2 linked regions of the Arabidopsis thaliana genome follow. The protein of the gene in region 1 binds, or shares a complex with, the protein of each later gene. Each region holds a gene or a part of one and is shown on either strand. Other genes may lie near its edges. The genes, in order: MTACP-1 and CIB22. A codon is read from its position in the direction of its gene.

What was found.
Region 2: the proteins of MTACP-1 (region 1) and CIB22 are in contact, whole or in part, in a cryo-EM structure (PDB 8BEH), measured with the Arabidopsis thaliana proteins. Residues at the interface, in NP_181990.1 of Arabidopsis thaliana: Asp78 (codon at 3,267), Ser79 (codon at 3,264), Leu80 (codon at 3,261), Asp81 (codon at 3,258), Val83 (codon at 3,252), Glu84 (codon at 3,249), Val86 (codon at 3,243), Met87 (codon at 3,240), Glu90 (codon at 3,231), Glu91 (codon at 3,228), Lys94 (codon at 3,219), Leu95 (codon at 3,216), Glu96 (codon at 3,213), Ile97 (codon at 3,210), Asp99 (codon at 3,204), Lys100 (codon at 3,201), Ala102 (codon at 3,195), Asp103 (codon at 3,192), His118 (codon at 3,147), Met120 (codon at 3,141); in NP_567970.1 of Arabidopsis thaliana: Glu18 (codon at 4,603), Arg21 (codon at 4,594), Ile22 (codon at 4,591), Tyr24 (codon at 4,585), Arg25 (codon at 4,582), Arg26 (codon at 4,579), Leu28 (codon at 4,573), Lys29 (codon at 4,570), Leu32 (codon at 4,561), Arg38 (codon at 4,543), Phe41 (codon at 4,534), Arg49 (codon at 4,407), Phe52 (codon at 4,398), Asn53 (codon at 4,395), Tyr84 (codon at 3,512), Ile85 (codon at 3,509), Val86 (codon at 3,506), Pro87 (codon at 3,358), Trp88 (codon at 3,355), Ala89 (codon at 3,352).

Annotation. Positions count from the first base shown.
Region 1 is NC_003071.7:18,409,346-18,418,194, reverse strand, and holds MTACP-1 (mitochondrial acyl carrier protein 1), read right to left. Parts: upstream 3,995-8,849; 5' UTR 3,876-3,994; coding exon 3,684-3,875; intron 3,307-3,683; coding exon 3,130-3,306; 3' UTR 2,860-3,129; downstream 1-2,859. Other genes in the region: AT2G44640 (TRIGALACTOSYLDIACYLGLYCEROL-like protein), read right to left, coding at 1-149, 238-487, 638-909; AT2G44630 (Galactose oxidase/kelch repeat superfamily protein), read left to right, coding at 1,248-2,366; RAB6A (Ras-related small GTP-binding family protein), read left to right, coding at 4,312-4,428, 4,974-5,044, 5,142-5,230, 5,404-5,515, 5,900-5,990, 6,271-6,417; AT2G44600 (uncharacterized protein), read right to left, coding at 8,409-8,849. UniProt on the Arabidopsis thaliana protein: Carrier of the growing fatty acid chain in fatty acid biosynthesis. May be involved in the synthesis of short and medium chain fatty acids.
Region 2 is NC_003075.7:16,551,551-16,561,527, reverse strand, and holds CIB22 (LYR family of Fe/S cluster biogenesis protein), read right to left. Parts: upstream 4,791-9,977; 5' UTR 4,655-4,790; coding exon 4,523-4,654; intron 4,420-4,522; coding exon 4,378-4,419; intron 3,588-4,377; coding exon 3,506-3,587; intron 3,361-3,505; coding exon 3,305-3,360; intron 3,208-3,304; coding exon 3,166-3,207; 3' UTR 3,129-3,165; intron 2,988-3,128; 3' UTR 2,494-2,987; downstream 1-2,493. Other genes in the region: ADC2 (arginine decarboxylase 2), read left to right, coding at 1-1,213; AT4G34690 (uncharacterized protein), read left to right, coding at 5,431-5,439, 5,451-6,065; GATA3 (GATA transcription factor 3), read right to left, coding at 6,918-7,445, 7,547-7,828. UniProt on the Arabidopsis thaliana protein: Accessory subunit of the mitochondrial membrane respiratory chain NADH dehydrogenase (Complex I), that is believed to be not involved in catalysis. Complex I functions in the transfer of electrons from NADH to the respiratory chain.

The sequences.
Region 1 (8,849 bases):
TGAAGACCAAACCGGTATCTAACCCCTGACTCTGGAACAAGGGATGAGACATCAACATTCAAAGATTCAGGAACATCCCAGAAACGTCCTTTATTGTCCAAAAACAAATCTGGCCAAGCTGCTTCCACAGTGAGATCATGTTTCTCAAGCTGCTCATTAGTTCAAACAAAAAAACAAATTAGAAGTGCTTTAAAACACAAAAGAAGAATCCATCATAGTTACAGTACAGAGACATACCGGATGAACAAGCATCAACTTGTTTCGGAGTCCGTTTTTATCTCCAAGACGTTCAGTGCTAAGCAAGAGAGAAGAAGAAGTACCCAACGCAATCTGAGTCCATAAACCAATAGAGTAAAGGGATTTGTCAACAATGTGTTTTGCTGTATCCTTTACAACTTGCAAATCCCACTCTTCTGCATTGCTAATATCTGCTTTGATATCAGCAAAGAGCTTCTTTGGTTTGAACTGCCCAACTAAACCTAACCACCTGAGTGAAAATTCCAAACAAAACTAATCACATGTCTCATCAAATCCAACAATGTCAACACTATTTCACCAGTTTGATTCAAAGTCTCAACCTTTAAAGCATTACTCGCTCACAATTTTGTAAATTATTGAAGAGGTTAAGAGCATTTACCAGTTGTTAGAGGAAGGACTGAGCAAGAGAGAATTGAGAGAGAAAGAGCCGAGTCTCTTGTCAGAAGCAGGAGCCAAAGAAGGAATGATTCCAAGAGGAAAGCCTTCGCGAAGCAGAGAGAGCTGTTGAATCCGGTGAGAGCGGCTTGCTCGTGCTCCGTCTAAGGGAAATGGCTCACCGGGAACAGAGCGAGCAGTGCCTTCAAGGGTTTGAGGTGAAGAAACGTTCTGATCCCAAAACACTGAATCAATAGCTGAGTTAAGATTCGCCATTTTCTTCTTCCTCTTCTTCTTTCCTTATCTCAGTCTCTCCTGTGTACGAAGCTGGGAGACAAAGGGGGTTTAAGCATTTTCATGGGCCTTTTCTTCACCCTTTAATGGGCCTTGTTTTAAAATCGATTCCTTAGAAAGATTCACTCACCGGGCTTATTCCTGGGCCTTATTCTAAAACTCTGTGTGTTTCCCTGATCAAGACAAGAAATATAAACCGGTTTTAACCGATTAAAGCAGAATCAGAGAAGAATTTAACCGGCTTTTGGTTTTTGGCTAAAGCCCTCAATTTGATTGATTCACTCAGTTGTTCTCTAGTCTCCTCCTCCTAATAGCTCTCGATGTCTAACGCCGACGAACCACCGCAGAAAACCAACCAACCACCGTCGTCTTCATTGACGCCGCCGTCATTGTTCTCACTCCCGGTGGACATCGTATTGAACATCTTAGCCTTGGTACCAAAACGATATTACCCAATCCTCTGTTGCGTCTCCAAGTCCTTGCGGAGTCTAATTCGCTCGCCGGAGATTCACAAGACGCGATCTTTACACGGAAAGGACTCTCTTTATCTATGCTTCTCGACCAGAACTACATACCCGAACCGGAACCGGACGACTTTTCACTGGTTCACTCTCCGGAGGAATGATAACAAGATGAATACGACTGAGAATGTCTTCGTCTCCATCGATGTTCCTTATCGTCCCGGGCATGCTTCTTACCCTCTTTCCAATATCGCAATTGATACAGAGATTTACTGCATTCCCGGATATAATTTTCCCTCATCATCAATCGTATGGATCTTTGACACCCAATCTGGACAGTGGCGTCAAGGACCTAGTATGCAAGTGGAGCGATTATCAGCTACCGTAGGACTAGTCGGTGGTAAGATCTATGTGATCGGAGGCAACAGAGGCGAAGAGATCCTAGCGGAAGTATTTGACTTAAAGACACAAACTTGGGAAGCAGCGCCGATTCCTAAGGCAAAGGATAGAAACGAATGGTTCACGCATGCAAGTGTTTCACTTGATAGGAAGGTTTATGCTTTAAATTCGAGGGAATACATGAATTCTTACGATACTAGAGATGGTTCTTATCAAAGATATACGATACCTGAAGATAATTGGTGGAAGACAGGAAAATGCGTGATTGACAATGTGCTCTTCGTTTACTTCCTTAGATTTGGGTTAATGTGGTATGACTCTGAGCTGATGTTGTGGAGAGTGGTTTATGGTTTAGATCTTGACAAAGCTCGATGCATTGGGATCGGGGAATACTACGGAAAGTTGGCGTTTATATGGGGAAAACCAAGTAATGTTAGTGAAAGCAAAGAGATTTGGTGTAGAATGATTGGCTTGCTTAGGAGTGAAGTAGGAATTCATGGAACTGAAGAACCGTCTCAACTTCTCAGAATCGTTCCTAACAACTATAGTTTGCGCCATTGTCTGTCTCTTTCGGGTTAAACTTAATCAAGAGATATATTGTTGACGTTAGATGTTTATTTAGTCTTTCTTTAGTCATTATGATCAATATCACTACAATGTGTTTACAAGATTCATTGCTGTTGCGGTTTCAGCATCTTGCTTTGTTCCTTCCACCCTATCCATTTTGCATAATTAGCTTAGCAAGTTTTTAATATTGTAAGTTCACCCATTTTGTCCCATTTACTAAAAAATCGATTCAAACGAAACCTGAAATGTATCTCCTAATTAAAACATCTAACTTGTGGATAGAGATATTGGTGTATTTTGGTACAAATGCTGTAGTTGAGATGAAGCAGAAAACTTGTCCAAATGAAAACTACTGTCTGTATTCGATCCAAAAGATGGCTGACAAACAATTCTAGTTAATAGCACGTTATGATGTAATGTAGTATATAAGATCCAATTTCTTGGTCTTGCATATGTATCCAAGAGAGACGATCAGTTTTTTAAAACAAGTATGTTTTTCAAAGATTCGTCTTCAATGTATGATCAAGACCATGCTAAGAATCAAGTGTATTATATACAAATCGTATTAAAGTATTAACTCAAGAAAAAGTGTCAACTTTCACAAGATTCAAGCAAAAAGGTTTTCTTTTTAAGAAACTGGAACCGTTAAAAGAGTCAATAACAATGCTCTCCAAATAAAAGTGATTTTTTTGCAAATCCCATTATGGCATTATCAAAGAGAGAAGAACCTCATACAAGAAAAAGGAAGGAGAAACCATGAGAGAGCACACAGCGATTAGCTAGACATTGGATGATTGTAAACGTATTCAATGGCGAGAGAGCAAGAATCGATCTTGTCAGCTTCTTTGTCTGGAATTTCCAGCTTGAATTCCTCTTCAATAGCCATCACTATCTCCACTGTGTCCAAACTATCTAATCCCAAATCGTTTTGGAAATGAACCTCAGGAGTCACCTGTCGATATTTATCACAAAGCCATCAACAAAAATAACCCTAACCAAACAACCCTTATTAGAGAGAGTTGATGAAGGATTCATAAATGCAAAATCCATAAGAATGACCATATCAAATCAAATCCATAGGAACAACAACACGATAAGCTACACTTACTAAACCACATTGAGATCAATAACCTTCAATTTACTAACAACACTAATGCAACATCGTTTCAGATACATTTGGTCTCTATTTCCACTAGATCAATACGAAATCAACCAAAAGCTCCTACATTGACAAATATTCAAGGCAAAATAATCATTTTGTTCCCAATAATGAGGAAAACAAAAGATAAGAATCACGATTTGGCCAAATTTTATGAAGATCGAGCTGACCTTAGAGGGATCGACTTTGGGGAAGCTCTTGACAACATCGAGTACTCTATCGACGACAGCTTCTCTGCTAAGATGATCATCGTGCGAAGAAAATGACCGGATCGTACCAAGGAACCCAATTTTAGACTGATTCAATCCTAGGGTTTGCACCGGAACCCTCAGGTGACGAAGAATTGCATTTCTCAGTGCCATTTTCGTCTCTTTCTTCGAGCTCGAGAATTAGGGATTTGATTTGATGAGAGAGACACAGAAGAGTCAAGTAGCCAAAAGGGGCAAAAATAGTTCAGGTCATACGAGATGACACGTGCCCCCTACTATAAGGCTAGCCCAAATCCTTACGTGGGCTTATAAATGCTGCCCATAATGTAGTAAATTCCTTAATCAGCTTCTAAGTTTTTATATATTTTGTAACTTATCTCAAATAGTTTCTAATTTAACATAAATGACCCAATTGGGTCACTCGAGGAATAAACTGCAATTTACGAATAACAAACTCTCACTAATACAGTATTTGCAATTCCAGAGCGACGGGATCTCTCTCCGGTAAATATCGGAAACTTTTATTCTCAGCAAAGCGAGATCTCGACGTTTCTCAGATCCGTCCGGCGAGTTAGATCCTTGAGAAATCATGGCTCCGGTCTCGGCACTCGCTAAGTATAAGCTGGTGTTTCTGGGAGATCAATCCGTCGGCAAAACCAGTATCATTACTCGATTCATGTACGACAAATTCGACAACACTTACCAGGTAAATTTCCATTGTTCAAATCTAGGTATTATCTCGACGATGCACGACGTTTGCTTCTATTTTGAGGGATTATAGTCGGGAAAATCCCAGGGTTTGATTGATTTTGAGATCCGTTTTCATGGACGGGAATCGTGTTTTTCAGTTCGAAGTTCTTACTCGTTTACGTGATCGGGCGTTTGGTTTTGCGTAATTATGTGTGATCTGATTTGTAGATCGTGTTTTAGTCAATGTATAGGACGTAACAATCAGCTGAATGAGATTTTGGCATCGTAATCGCTCACTCTCGTTTATTGTACAAAGTCGAGAATTCAGTCCAATAGAAGATCGCAGTAACACTAATATGAGGATGTTTCTTTGATCATGTTATCATTGTTTATCTAATCGAATTAGTTCTCAATTGATGAATGAAAGCATCTGATCTTGTTCTGTGATTATGAGAATTACGTTTAAGCTCCTAATAATATGTGAACCATGCTTGCTTATCGTCATTTTACAGAATGTTCTTCCTTTTCTAAGTAGTTTTTATGTTGTTTCATAATCATCAGGCCACAATTGGTATTGATTTTCTATCAAAGACAATGTACCTTGAAGATCGAACGGTCAGACTTCAGTTGTGGTAAGATCTTGAGCCTCTTTCAATTTTCGAATACTGAAGAATAACATTGCAGATCATTTTTTGATGATTAACATCGAGAGCCGAAATCATATGACAGGGATACAGCTGGGCAAGAGCGATTCAGGAGTCTAATTCCGAGCTATATCAGGGATTCCTCCGTTGCTGTTATTGTGTATGATGTTGCAAGTATGTGTACCTTCACTCGTTCTCTCAAACACATGAATATTTTCCCATATCTGAGATCTTGGGGATGTGGTTTTCAGTAATCTTATGAATTTATGCGTTTCGATTTCTTCTTTATGTTGATCCATTGTGCGTTGTGAAACTCGAGATTTATTTTGTTTTCCACTGACATATAGGCAGGCAGTCCTTCCTAAACACTACTAAGTGGATCGATGAGGTTAGGACAGAACGTGGTAGTGATGTCATAGTCGTGCTTGTGGGAAACAAAACTGATCTAGTGGACAAAAGGTAATAATGATCTACCATCTCTTCCTCTACTTGTTTCTTGTTAAACCATGATGTGCAAATTACTGTTCAATAGCAATTGAGACTGAAATTTGGTAGTCCTCCTTGTTTAAACACGCTCTGATTTCGTAAGTATGTTGACAAGACGAATGGGTGTCTTTTTTGTTTTACTCAAGTACAAACTGTTGTTAAACCACGTCTTACTTTTCTGGTGGTATTGAGTATGTTGCCAAACGACCCTACAAGATAATAAATGGAAAATCATTTGCTGCTCAACTGCATATCTTTACAGGGTTTCTTTATAGTCAACACGCTTTGACACTTGATGGTGCCTACTACATTTGTTACTGCCAATTGGGCCTTTGTATTAAATATTTTGTTTCTCAGGCAAGTGTCAATAGAGGAAGCAGAAGCTAAGGCACGCGAACTTAATGTAATGTTCATCGAAACCAGTGCCAAAGCGGGCTTCAACATTAAGGTAACAAAGATCTTGGCTTGACACATTTCTGAGGGTTTCTTGCACAACAAAAACTTGCTGCTTAGTTCAACTAAGCCCTAACTTTGTTTAGTTCCATCAATATTCAATAGTTAATTAACCTAGACTTATAAATTTTTAACCCAACCTGCTGATTATTACATCCTCCTCATTTGTATGGATCTTTCACTGATACTCTCTAAACAATTACCGCAAATCCATAACGCTATCACTCCGTGCAAATCTTGTTTTCTTATGATTTCAAACCTTTTTGTATTGCTAGGCGCTCTTCCGCAAGATAGCAGCAGCTTTGCCGGGAATGGAGACATTGTCTTCAACAAAGCAAGAGGATATGGTTGATGTCAATCTCAAGTCTTCCAATGCAAATGCATCTCTCGCTCAGCAGCAATCAGGAGGATGCTCTTGTTAGATTTGGCAACAACAACACAACAACAAATCGATAGAGAACAACAAAACACACTACTAAAAAATGTCCTCAAGCCCCTTTGCATGATTCGATCAGTTATCGTCTTCCATCTGTAAAATTTTTGCCTGTTTTTCAACTTTTTTTCTTCATCGGATTGTTTTTAAAGAAGACTCTGTTTTAGCTATGGTTTGTCCCTAACTGTGATCTTTTGTGGTCTTTGGAGTTTCAAATGCTCGCTGCTTCAGTACTTTTGTTTACTTATTTCTCAAAACTGTGATTTGTCGGTCTATGAATTTAATTATGTATAACTGTGAGCTGCTAGGTAATAAAAACTCTCATTTCGTTTCGTCTTTCCATGTGATAGTCTGATAGAGAAAGAAGCACAGCATTTTTAATCTTTGACCCATAAAGAAACAGATAATTAATTTCGTACACATGTCGTTAGTTCAGATCACTTAAATGAGCTAATTAAATTCAAAGTCTCACACTGTTCCCAGGTATTTTTCTCCAGTTCCACCATGTCCCTAAAATTAAGCTTCTCTCATCGTAAAAAGCTCTGGTGGGTTAATGCAGTTGGAGTATACTCAGCAATTCTATCCCAAATAATGTGTATACTCACTTAATCAGCAATAATCACTCGTAACGATTTTATGGAACTAAGTTAGTGGAATGAGTTTTTTTGTAATTACTTATTATGAATTTATGACATATCCTTTTGAAAAAGAAAAAAAAAAACAGAAACTTGTACGATTGTTTTTCTTTCATTGCAGCTGAAAAGTATTGTCATATTTTTGAATAGTCCAACCAAGCTATTTGAAAATTTTAATGACACTATATTTCATAATTATATTGTCATCAATCAAATCCTCATACATAGTACCAACTAATAGCTAAAAATTACATAACACTTGTGCTTTATTTGAATTTTCCCACTAACTCATCAAACGCATAATTCGCAATAATGACCATAATTAAAGATAGACCCCTTCAAAAAAAAAAAAAAAAGAATGAGTAAGTTGAAATCAATGAAGATGTAGGTGAGAGGAGATGGTAGAGCCACGAAAGAAACACTATTTCAATTCTCCCCTCTCCAACAAAAGCCCCCATTCATTAAATGCCAACTTCCCTTTTATGACCGTTAATGCTCTCTGTAAGATGACAAATTACAAATAAGTCCTCAGAGTCATACTAGTCTAATTTTCGTTATATTTATAATACTCTTTCACGACTATGGACCCATGGAATTTAAATCTTAAATTGGTCCTACTTCCGTATATTTGTATTAAACTCTTAGTCTTTACTCTTTTTAAACCTTTGAAACTCTCTTAGACGGTACTTGGATCTTCATAAAAGTCGTCTATCTTTCGTCGAAATTGAGACCTATGTTATTAGATCTATATGCCCACTTTTTCTCTAGCTTTCTTTATTAGGTTTTTCATGTGTCTGGTTAGTAAGTGAGACTAGTAAATTGGATTTGTGAATGGTTCTTTTTGACTTTGCCAATGTCTAAGACTTAAGTGTTGTCAGATTTTGTTTCTCTAGATTAAGAGAAACACAAGGGTATGTGTCACATTTATTATCACCAACAAAGCATTGATTTTTTTTTTTTTAGATTTGAAAACTTCAAAAATAATAGCAATGTATTACAATTCTGACATGAACTAGTCATAGGTTTACTTCTTCTACTATCTGTCATTTTTTGATGTGTACACCCAAAAATTCTCATAAGAAAAAAAGAGATACACATTAGACTATCCAAAGAAAAAGAAAACACACGACATTGTTCTCTTCTAATCTCCTAAATATAAAAACGAATATTTCTTCCTTTAATATACAATCACAAAACATTATAATATACTGTAATGAATAACCAAAAAAAAAGTAAATTCACTCTTTATCTGTTGGTATAGTAAAGCCACACCATATGAATCTTGTGAAGGGTATTTTAGGTAATTTCACAAAGAACGGTCAGATTTTGACCTCAACCAAAAAAATCAACGGCGGTGATCAACTCTACCTAAATCCACAAGCTTCTTAGACCGGTTACCGCAAAAAGACGCCGCCGTTGATAGGTGAGGCTTCGCCGGAGATTTCAATTCACCGGAATATCCAAAATCCGGCGGAAATTTCGCTTTCCAGTTAGAAGAACAGTTAGGTTTAGCTCTCACTAATGGACTTAAGCAAAAAGCCATCCCTGATACACTTCTACCAATCCCAATCGTCGCCGTCTTTTTCCTTCCCGGAGTTCCCATCACCGGCGTTCTTCTTAATCTCCCTGGAGATTCCTCAACTGATTCATCGTTCGTCGTTGAATCTCCCGCCGGCGACATTCCTCTACAATATCTCTGTCTAGGTCGATTTTGATTATGATGATGATGATCGGATTCGGAAGCGATCAAATCTTCGATGTAGCAAGTATTGGTGGTTGATTGTTT
Region 2 (9,977 bases), on another chromosome or scaffold:
TGATGGTGTCGCCGAGGCTGCTCAGCTTTACTGTGAACTTGTGCGTCTTGGTGCACATATGAAAGTTATTGATATCGGTGGTGGTTTGGGGATTGACTACGACGGGTCTAAATCTGGAGAATCGGATCTCTCTGTTGCTTATAGTCTCGAGGAGTATGCTGAAGCTGTTGTAGCTTCTGTTCGGGTTGTGTGTGACCGGAGCTCAGTGAAACATCCGGTGATATGCAGCGAAAGCGGTAGAGCGATAGTCTCTCATCATTCTGTGCTGATCTTTGAAGCTGTTTCAGCAGATAAACCAATGGTTCATCAAGCAACTCCCGGCGATATTCAGTTCCTGCTTGAAGGTAATGAGGAAGCTCGAGCCAATTATGAGGATCTTTATGCTGCTGTGATGCGTGGAGACCACGAAAGCTGCCTTCTTTATGTCGATCAGCTGAAGCAGAGGTGTGTTGAAGGTTTCAAAGAAGGTGTTTTGAGCATCGAGCAGTTAGCTTCTGTTGATGGTTTATGCGAGTGGGTGTTGAAGGCTATAGGCGCATCGGATCCGGTTCATACTTACAATATCAATCTATCAGTTTTCACTTCGATTCCTGATCTCTGGGGGATTGATCAGCTGTTCCCTATAGTTCCTATCCATAAGCTCGATCAAAGGCCCGGGGCTCGCGGAATCCTTTCAGATTTAACGTGTGATAGTGACGGGAAGATCAACAAGTTCATAGGCGGTGAATCCAGCTTGCCGTTGCACGAGCTGGACAAGAATGGCAGTGGAGGAAGGTACTTTTTGGGTATGTTCCTTGGAGGGGCTTACGAGGAGGCTCTCGGTGGAGTCCACAATCTGTTTGGTGGACCAAGCGTTGTCCGGGTCTCCCAGAGCGATGGACCACACAGCTTTGCAGTGACCCGAGCGGTGCCTGGTCAGTCCTCAGCGGATGTTCTCCGAGCAATGCAGCATGAGCCGGAGCTAATGTTTCAGACCCTAAAGCACCGAGCAGAGGAAATGATGCATACCAAAGGTGGTAGCGAAGGTGAAAATGAAGAGGAAGAAGAAGATGATGAGTTCAACAATGTGGCGGCTTCTCTCGACCGTTCGTTCCACAACATGCCGTATCTTGCAACTGAGCAGGCATCGCCAAGTAACTCTCTTTCAGCTGCGATCAGTAACCTTGGGTTTTACTACTGCGACGAAGACGTCTACGATTACATCTCTGCGTGAGAAAAGGTGGTCGTCGTGTGGTTTGTTGTTGCATTATATTATCGTAAAATCGTCATTGTACGATTTCTTTAAATAAAAGTTATTAAATAAGAACATGATGAGATCCATGATCCATCGTTGTTTAAGGTTTTAAGTAAGAAGATCCGAATTATGAAAGCCTTTTGTGAAATTCGGATCTTTTTATATTTATTTCCCCCTTCAAATGTAGCCGTTCCCGTTTTATTTATAATAATAATAATAAAAAAGTTTGACCACATAAAAGAAATAAATAAACGATGAATCGTGAATAAGTTGTTTTCAGTTTTCACTCTATAATAATTTTAAATAAAAAATATAAAAAATTGTCTAGTGGTATTTTTAACGGATCAGGTTCGCCGCATCTTATAACCGGCGTCGTGGGCCGATGTTGTTATGATGAGTGAAGAAGTGAATGTGACAACACACACAAGTATCACATGGAGATGTTAGATTCTGACATTTATGTGTTTTATCGACTGACATCTTTTATCTGTTAGGCTTTGGGAAGCGGTTAAATGATTATTTGATAATGTGGCTCATGATTGAGTGTTTTTAGCCGTATCTTGCATTATCGAATAGTGGTCTTTATTTTTAAGTCACGGCTTGGTGTGCAACAGGTTTCGTTTTACGTGGAGGTAATTTTTTGACATTATGCATATTCGAGATAACGTGTTGTTGTTTCCATTATACTTGTCCGGTTGTTGGCGATCGTGGAAAAAAAAGCATATAATACTGTAGAGAAAAAGGAAGGATTCAAATTTAAAGGTGAAAAGTTTGACGAATATGGTAATACTAAGCTTCATGTCGGTCAATTTGTAGATGATCGTTTCACTTTTTGGTGTGTTTTTATTAACATATATTGTATTCATAACTTATAAATATATTTATCATTCTTTCTTAGAATGATGAGAGAATCATTAAACCTTCCTCGAAATCTAAAACCTTTAAACGTCAAAGCTTAAGTGATTCACAATTCAACCAAAAACTGCAAAACATTATGTTCAATCTTGTTTCTACTAATCTTTGCTTCAAGCTCTCTATTTTCGTTTGCAAAATTGTAGCCGTTTCTTTTACAATGTAAGTGAAAAAGGGGCTAAGGTTGGTAGAATCCAATCCTATAACATCTTTGCTTTGAATTTCGCAATTTGGGTTTGGAATCGGCATTTACTTTTCCCGACCATGGTCCTCACCGAAAATGCCAAGTGTTACGTGACGACATCAATTTGCAGGGATCGGTCCCGATTCTCAAGTTGGATAATCGATTCCTATCTACCCAAAATTACCAATATGTGGTACAAGACTTCAAATTGTGTCTCTAACAGATTTGGAATGTGTTTATACGCTGCGTTTCCACAATTATTAAGGAAGACAAAGCTGATTATCAAAACAACAGAGACAGAAGAACAAAACCCTTTTTAGACGCAATGACGTGTAAAGGGAGAGTGAGATGAGATGTTGTTCGATTAAAACCTTCTCAAGATATAGCCTCCTCAAAGACCAGTATCGATTTGCAGCCAAGGTTGAAAAAAGAAAAAAAGACCACAATTTTGTTGTTTTACTGACAAGTTTTCATGGTCGAACATCCATGACTCAAGAGCAGCCGGAAATGTTTTAGATGAAAGATATAAACCAAGTTGAAACAAGAATTGTCTTACTGGAACGAAACATCTTTGAAAATAACAATTGGTCCCTCAAAGTTTCAACCTTGAAAGTCAGTTTAATTTATCTCCAAACCATAGCCACCGGATGCTTCAATCTGCAATATATAACAAACACCATTGAAACATAACGTCTTAGTGGTTCTACTGCGACATTTCGATATAATGAGGGACATTTACTAGAATGAAGGGAAACTATTGTGGATACAGCCTTAGCATTTGATAATTCTCTAACTTACTTTATTGATGGGTGTGACAATATGGAAGCTAGGTTTATTATGGGTTGTCTTCTAGACCATAGTTGTACACAATCTCAATCTGCATCAGTCACACACACAATAAAAGATCAGCAGTTGCGAAGAAGAAAGGTAGATCATGAAGAAAAAAGTGATAAGTGTTGAGAACAAAAAATTACCCCAGCAGGCGGAGTCGGGTTTCTACAGAACTTTGAGCCACCAGGAGCCCATGGAACTACAACAGAAAATGTGTGTCATTTAGTGTCCAATTCGGGAAGTGGACTACTCATGTTATCTAATCTACGAGGAATTCCATAAGCCTGACAAAGAGTTCTTGCTATCAAATCTACCACGATTCATATATGGGTCGAGACGCTTACCGATATAAGGATCAGGGTGCCGCCATTTGTTGTATTCTGCTTCACCATGAGCAATCAGTTTGTCGATTCTGTCGACATCCTCCTACAAATACCCCAATCAAAGGTATTAGAGCATTGATAAAGCCCAAGAATGACCAAATACAAGTTCATAAGCCCATGTAATCAGGTTTCTTAGCAAGATGAGGATTGCATCTCTCCTTCTTTCCCTTATGAAATATCAAATCTAAAATGAATTTGTTCCTGTTAACAATCTAAAGACTAATAATTTTATTTCCTTTGCACTATAAAAAGCTTTCATTAGCTATTTCATTTCACTCTTATTTTCTATGTTTTGGATCTAGCTTAACAATGCTCTAAAAGCTTAAATCCTACTAACTTTGAATTCTCCTACAAAAGGACCATATCAAGAGACAACCAAAGATGAGAGACTCAATGTACATTGTGGCAGTAGTTGAAAAAAGAATTTCATAATATGATTTTCAACTCCAGTTTAAAAAGGTACATCCTTTACTTGAATTCAATATTGGAATGATAATGAGTGGAATATGCAAACTCAACACACAAATCATTGAACAGCAATTCTATTTCCCATATCTCCTACCTATTCACTTTTTTTTTATAATAGCGAAGAACCTAAACAACTTAGCAAGAGAAAATCCAGTAGAGGTGTTTCCACAACAAAAGTCCCCAATTTTCTCATCCACACACACTTAGATGATTATGCTCATCATATCTCTAAAGTCTCTCTACCAAATTAAATGAAACAAAACAATATCAATTTCCATTTCTACGGATTATCAAACATTTTAACAATCAACAATGAAACAAGGCAAAGAGAGAGGTATGCAAAATGAAAGGAGAAGAGAACAAACCACATCTTGGTTGACATTGAACTTCTCACGCAGATCAGAAGCCTGAAAGGTAACGAAGATCAAATGGAATCAAAAACCAAAATGAGAGATCGGTAAAAAATCAAAAAGTCCATGTCCGATTCGGAGATCTGAGGAAAAGACTTACGTCACGGTAGAAGATATGGCGATGAACAGCCCAATTGAGAGTATCCTTAAGGGCACGACGGTAAAGGATTCGAACTCTCTCCTTCTGAGCCGCTCGCCGCGCAAAGTACGCCGCCGTCGAAACTCCGCTCATTTTTGTCTTCCTGATTCCGATTGATTTCGAGTCTCTCTACACTCTTTTCATCTTTTACAGTGGAAAACCTTCTGTTTCCGTTGGAGGGACCGAGAAGAAAATTTCAAATGGGCCTTTGATTAGAGCTTGAATTAAGACAAAAATCGGCCCATTAAAAAAAGAAGGAGGTAAAAACAAACTCCGTTGCCGGGACTCGAACCCGGGTCTCTCGGGTGAGAGCCGAGTATCCTGACCAGCTAGACTACAACGGACTGTTGATACAGTCAAAGAAATAAATTATTTAACACTACGTATCTGTCTTTTCATTATACACTCACTTTTCCCAAAAAAAATTCACTTACTCCACCATTCGATAATAAAAATTATAAGTACTCAACAAAAAATCTAAACTTCAAAATTATCAAACTTTTTTTTTTTCTTTTAAGGATTACTCAACTTGATTTCGTGATTAGACTAAGCGTGAACAATAAAGAGCTGATTTGGTTGAATATATATGACACAAATTTTGCACGAATCAAGTTTAACACTTATCGTGGTTCAAGTTTTTCATTTTTATAGTTTTTTATTGTTTTTATATTATGTATGTTTAGAATTTTAATATTTCTAATAATTATTATGTTTGGTGAAATATATTATAATATTATATATTTATTTTTTTAAAGAAATCCACTTAAGAATTCCACCATTGAACAATAAAAAATATAAGGATTCAACAAAAAATTTAAACTTTAATTTATTCAAAATTTAGTATTATAAAATTGTAAGGAGTTCTAATGATGGATCTGGTGAAAAAAAGAGTGATGATGATGGATCCGGTGAGAAAAAGAGCAATGATGGATCCGGCGATGGGAAAAAGAGTGATGATGGATCCAGCAATAATGACGATGATGATTACACACCTAATGACGATCCACAATCGACATGGTTCAAGGTTTTTAAACTTTTAGCAACTAGGCTTCATTACATCGGGGTCAAGAGATCATGCGAGAGGAGCGTCAAACGCAAATGGAAGTTTCTCAAATTTATCAACATATCTCAAGCTAAGAAGCTTCAACTACTGGCTAAAGCTAAAGGGAAGGAGCATCAAACTTTTGTGGAGTACACTTGCCTAGGTAAGGCCTCCAGAGATTTCTCACAAACCTATACCTCGTTTCTCACTTGGTGTTTCTTTGGCTCTCTTACTTGCATCTCCTTCGTTTGGGGGTTATGGAACACCTCTAAAACGGATAGAAGCCTAGCCGACTTGTGGTTGGAGATAAACAAGAAGAGTGTGGTTATCCATGAGTTTAAGAAAGAGATGAGTGCCAAAAATGCTCTCTACATGCACCGGCTTGATGAGATTACAAAGGTTGCAAAGCAAAATCAGGAAGATCTTCAAAAGATCGTGGCACTTCTCGTATCTAAAAAGTGAAAGATGGGTTTAGTTTTTGGCTCTTTCATTTTGTTCTTGTTCTTACGAGAATGATTAGATTTATATCAATATCTTTATATGCTAAGAAACCTCTCACATTTTGTGGATGAACACTCTCTTTTGCTGCTTCATGTTTTAACTTGGATGTTTTCTTTTGTCTCCTGCTTATTCCCAAGCAAGCATACTAAATAAACTCTCTTTTTGTGTAGATACATGTAGCTTTATAGTCAACTTATTTTGAGTATGACACAAAGTAGCAATAAAACGGAGACAAGGCCACATAAACACATTAAAAGGATGTTTCCCTTAAAGATTGATATGCAAATGGTGAGATTAAACAATTATGCGGCAGACATAGCATCATACATTTGCCTAAATTTACTTTCATGGGGATTTAACGAAATCGTTTATCTACGATTAGCCTGAAAATTAACCTTTAGTAATTCGATATGTATAAATTAATTACATACCTAATTTTTTTTTTTGCTGAATAAATGTCTAAATTAATTATGCTTGCATCGATTATCAAATAAATATGTCGAATCTCAAGATTTATCAATAATATATATACTATATAGTAATGTTGGAGTTTTCAAGATGATTCTTCCATTTGGCATTTTGTTTACTCAAAAAGTCTATTTAAGCCACTACACATGGACCAAAATCATTCCAAGTACTAGTAGTGGTGGTGGTGGTCTTACATCATTAAAAACACACATTAATTTTGTTTATAGAAAACCATTGTTTACTTAAGACTAGTTCCTGAAACAGTTTCAAAATGTTAAGAAGCAAGTTGTTAAATTACAACACTACAGATAATGTTACAAAAAGTAGGTTTTACCTAAGTCTTATCTACCACTTGCTGCCAAATTTGACTGGGTCTGATTTAGTACTAGCTTCACCTGTTTCTTCACCCAACTCTTTACTCTTTCTTAATTCCAGAACCTTCCTATGAAGATTTGAGTGAATCTCATTCGAGAACGTCGGACTATCCGCCGGTCTGTATTCCGGGCAGAGCCTACCAGACTTAAACCGGACTCCACATGCATTACATAAGGTTTTTGGACCGACCGGACCGGTTCTCCACTGTGGTGTGTTGTTTGTGCCACAATGGCTGCATCTTCGTTGAAACACAAGGACAGTTTCTTGTTTCTTCTTCCTCAACTGCTCTGTTGCTGCATGTTGATGATTGGTTGAAACGAGTGGCCAAACACGACTACCGGTTAAACTGTTCCGAGACCGTTTGGTTCTTGGTTTAACCGGAATTCTTGAGAAGCTTGGTTTGGTTTTATGTGTTTGTGTTAAGAGAAGTGAAACTTCTGGTGATGAACAATCATCCACAACACGAGATACCCATTCAAGCTCTTCCACATCTTCATCCTAAAAATATCCCAAAAAAAAAGAAATCAAGAAAAATATAACTTAAAATCTTTCGATTATAAGAAGAGAAAGAAAAGGTATAAAGAAGTTTAGAAATTTACCGGCAAAGAAGGAAGTTGATCAAAGATGCAAGGTTGTGAACTAAAGACACAATCATGTTCTTGTTCTTCTTGCTCTTGTGAAGAAGAAACAGAGACAACTTCTTCTTCTTCTTCTTTTTGACCTTCTGAGAAATCGAGGAAACACTCAACGGAGAAATCTTCCGGCAAGGAAGAAGTTCGGCTTAAATCTTCCGACACAATCACTTGGTGATGTTTGAGAGATATAGTAGATTCTCCTCTTAGACTTGCCTTTAAGGCTCTAGCTTCTGTCCACAGCTCCATTCACTCTTTAACACATACACACATACATATAGAATTCTTTTTAAGTTTCACTTGACATACTCTGAATTCTCAACTATTACAACAACCATAAACATACGAAAATAGGCTTAAAACTAAAGTTTATAACCTATAACAAAGTCGGCGCATGCAAACTTTCGAGAAACTAAAAAGATGAGAAGAGGAGAGAGGTATGTGGGATATGCTCATCGTATCTCTTTACCTGACAAAGACGAAGAAGAAGGAGAAAAGCTGAGAGAATGGCGAAGAAACAGAGGAAGAGAGATATTCCGATAAGAGAAAAGTAAGAGGGCACTGAACTTAAAGGAGGATTCTTGAAGGGGTTAAAAGGTAAAACAGAGACTTTTTTTTTGTGTGTGTTTGTGCTTCTTCCAATTCCAAAAGTTAAAGCTCTTTTTTCCTATCTTTTTTTTTTGTTTTCTTTTCCCCTAATTTCTAAGTTTGTGGAATATTACAAAATCTTCTTTCACGAATGATACTATATTGGTATTTCAGAATCAATGCTTTTCCTCTTCTTTATTTGTCTCTTCATTTTCGTGTTAAACGGTGTGTCCTTTATTTCAATGTAAAATATGGATCAGCTTAATAAAAGATCAGGATCAAGTCTAATCCACTCGCCTCTATATTTCATTTAAAGCTCACAAGACTTGTTAAGAAATTGTTTGCATACATGAAAAATTAATTGATTATTCAATTTTTGTATTTAGAAGAAAATAAAAGAGATAAAAAAAAGTGATGATTTCTTTTTATTTTCACGTCAGGATTTGTTTTATTTTCTCCAAATTTCTTTGGACCTAATCAATGAGTTCTTTACGTGGATGTTTTTGGCGTGGGCTTATCCTTCGTCACATATTGATAAGTCAGGTCTGTTTCGCATTATTCAATACAAATTTGATTGTTTTTATTATAATTATTGTGAAGGGTTATATCATGATGCTGTGTTCCTTGTCCATGCCAATTTAGCTTGTCTTGTCAAAAGGGTTGACCATTTCTTCTTAGGAAATGTTGAAACATTAAGTTTTACAATGGTGATGAATTTGTTATTTCATAGTACTAACATTAACAATTTAATAGTATACATGCACAATATTTTGCTTGTCGTGTTAAAACTAGTATTATTGAAAGTCACCGATTAAACCTGTGATCTTTTTTGAAAATTTTAAAAATTTTGATATCTAACTAAAGGACCAAATGAAATTAACAAAGTGATAAGAACAATCCAATAATAGCTCAATTCTATACTAATACAATAATAGCTCAAAATTTAATAAAATACAAAGCATGAAATTTATAGAAAGCATCCAATTTTTTTATTTTTTTTGTCAAACAACATAAAATCATCCAATCTAGAATCTTAAAATTGAGTTAGATGTCCCATATACTGCGTCTGAATATAGATAAGAAATTTCATTCAGTCATGAATTTAAGAATATAAAATAATTCATGAAGCAAAATTAATTTTTACATGCATTACCAAGGATATATAAGATTATTTTCGCATTTGTTATGAGAACTGGCAAATGACAAACAAGTATTACGCGATTATAAAACAAACATTGCCATGCAGTCGGTGATGTCCACATATGATCTAGCCAATCTTCTATGTTATGCTATTTTTGGCATTAGATATGAGATTAGGTAACCCAAAGGAGAAAACATTTTTCCGATAAGATACATTAAGTTCATACCCTAATACCAAATCTCATATTGATTACATTTTATGGAAAATTACAGGATAGATATAATAATATCTGAATCCTATTAGAGATGTCAATTTGGATTAAGTCGATGTGTTAAAAACCAAATTAAGATTATCTCTACCGAAACCCCTTGAACCTTTTACAACTTTCCAAACACACAAATTTTTTATAAATAAAATAAAATAAAAACAAATGTTGATTTCAAATTCGATTCAAACACCCAAAAACAAGAGCATAAATAAAGTTCCTTTTAACCCACATTACGCAAAGAAAGAAAAAAAAAAAGAAGTGTGGGTTTTTGGTAGTGATGGGAATGGAGATGGTGCAAACCACCGTTGGAGTGGAGTTCACCAAAGCAACCACTATAGCCAAATCTTTTGAACATTTTATTTTTATTTTTAATAACTATCAAAGTATACTACTTTCCTTCC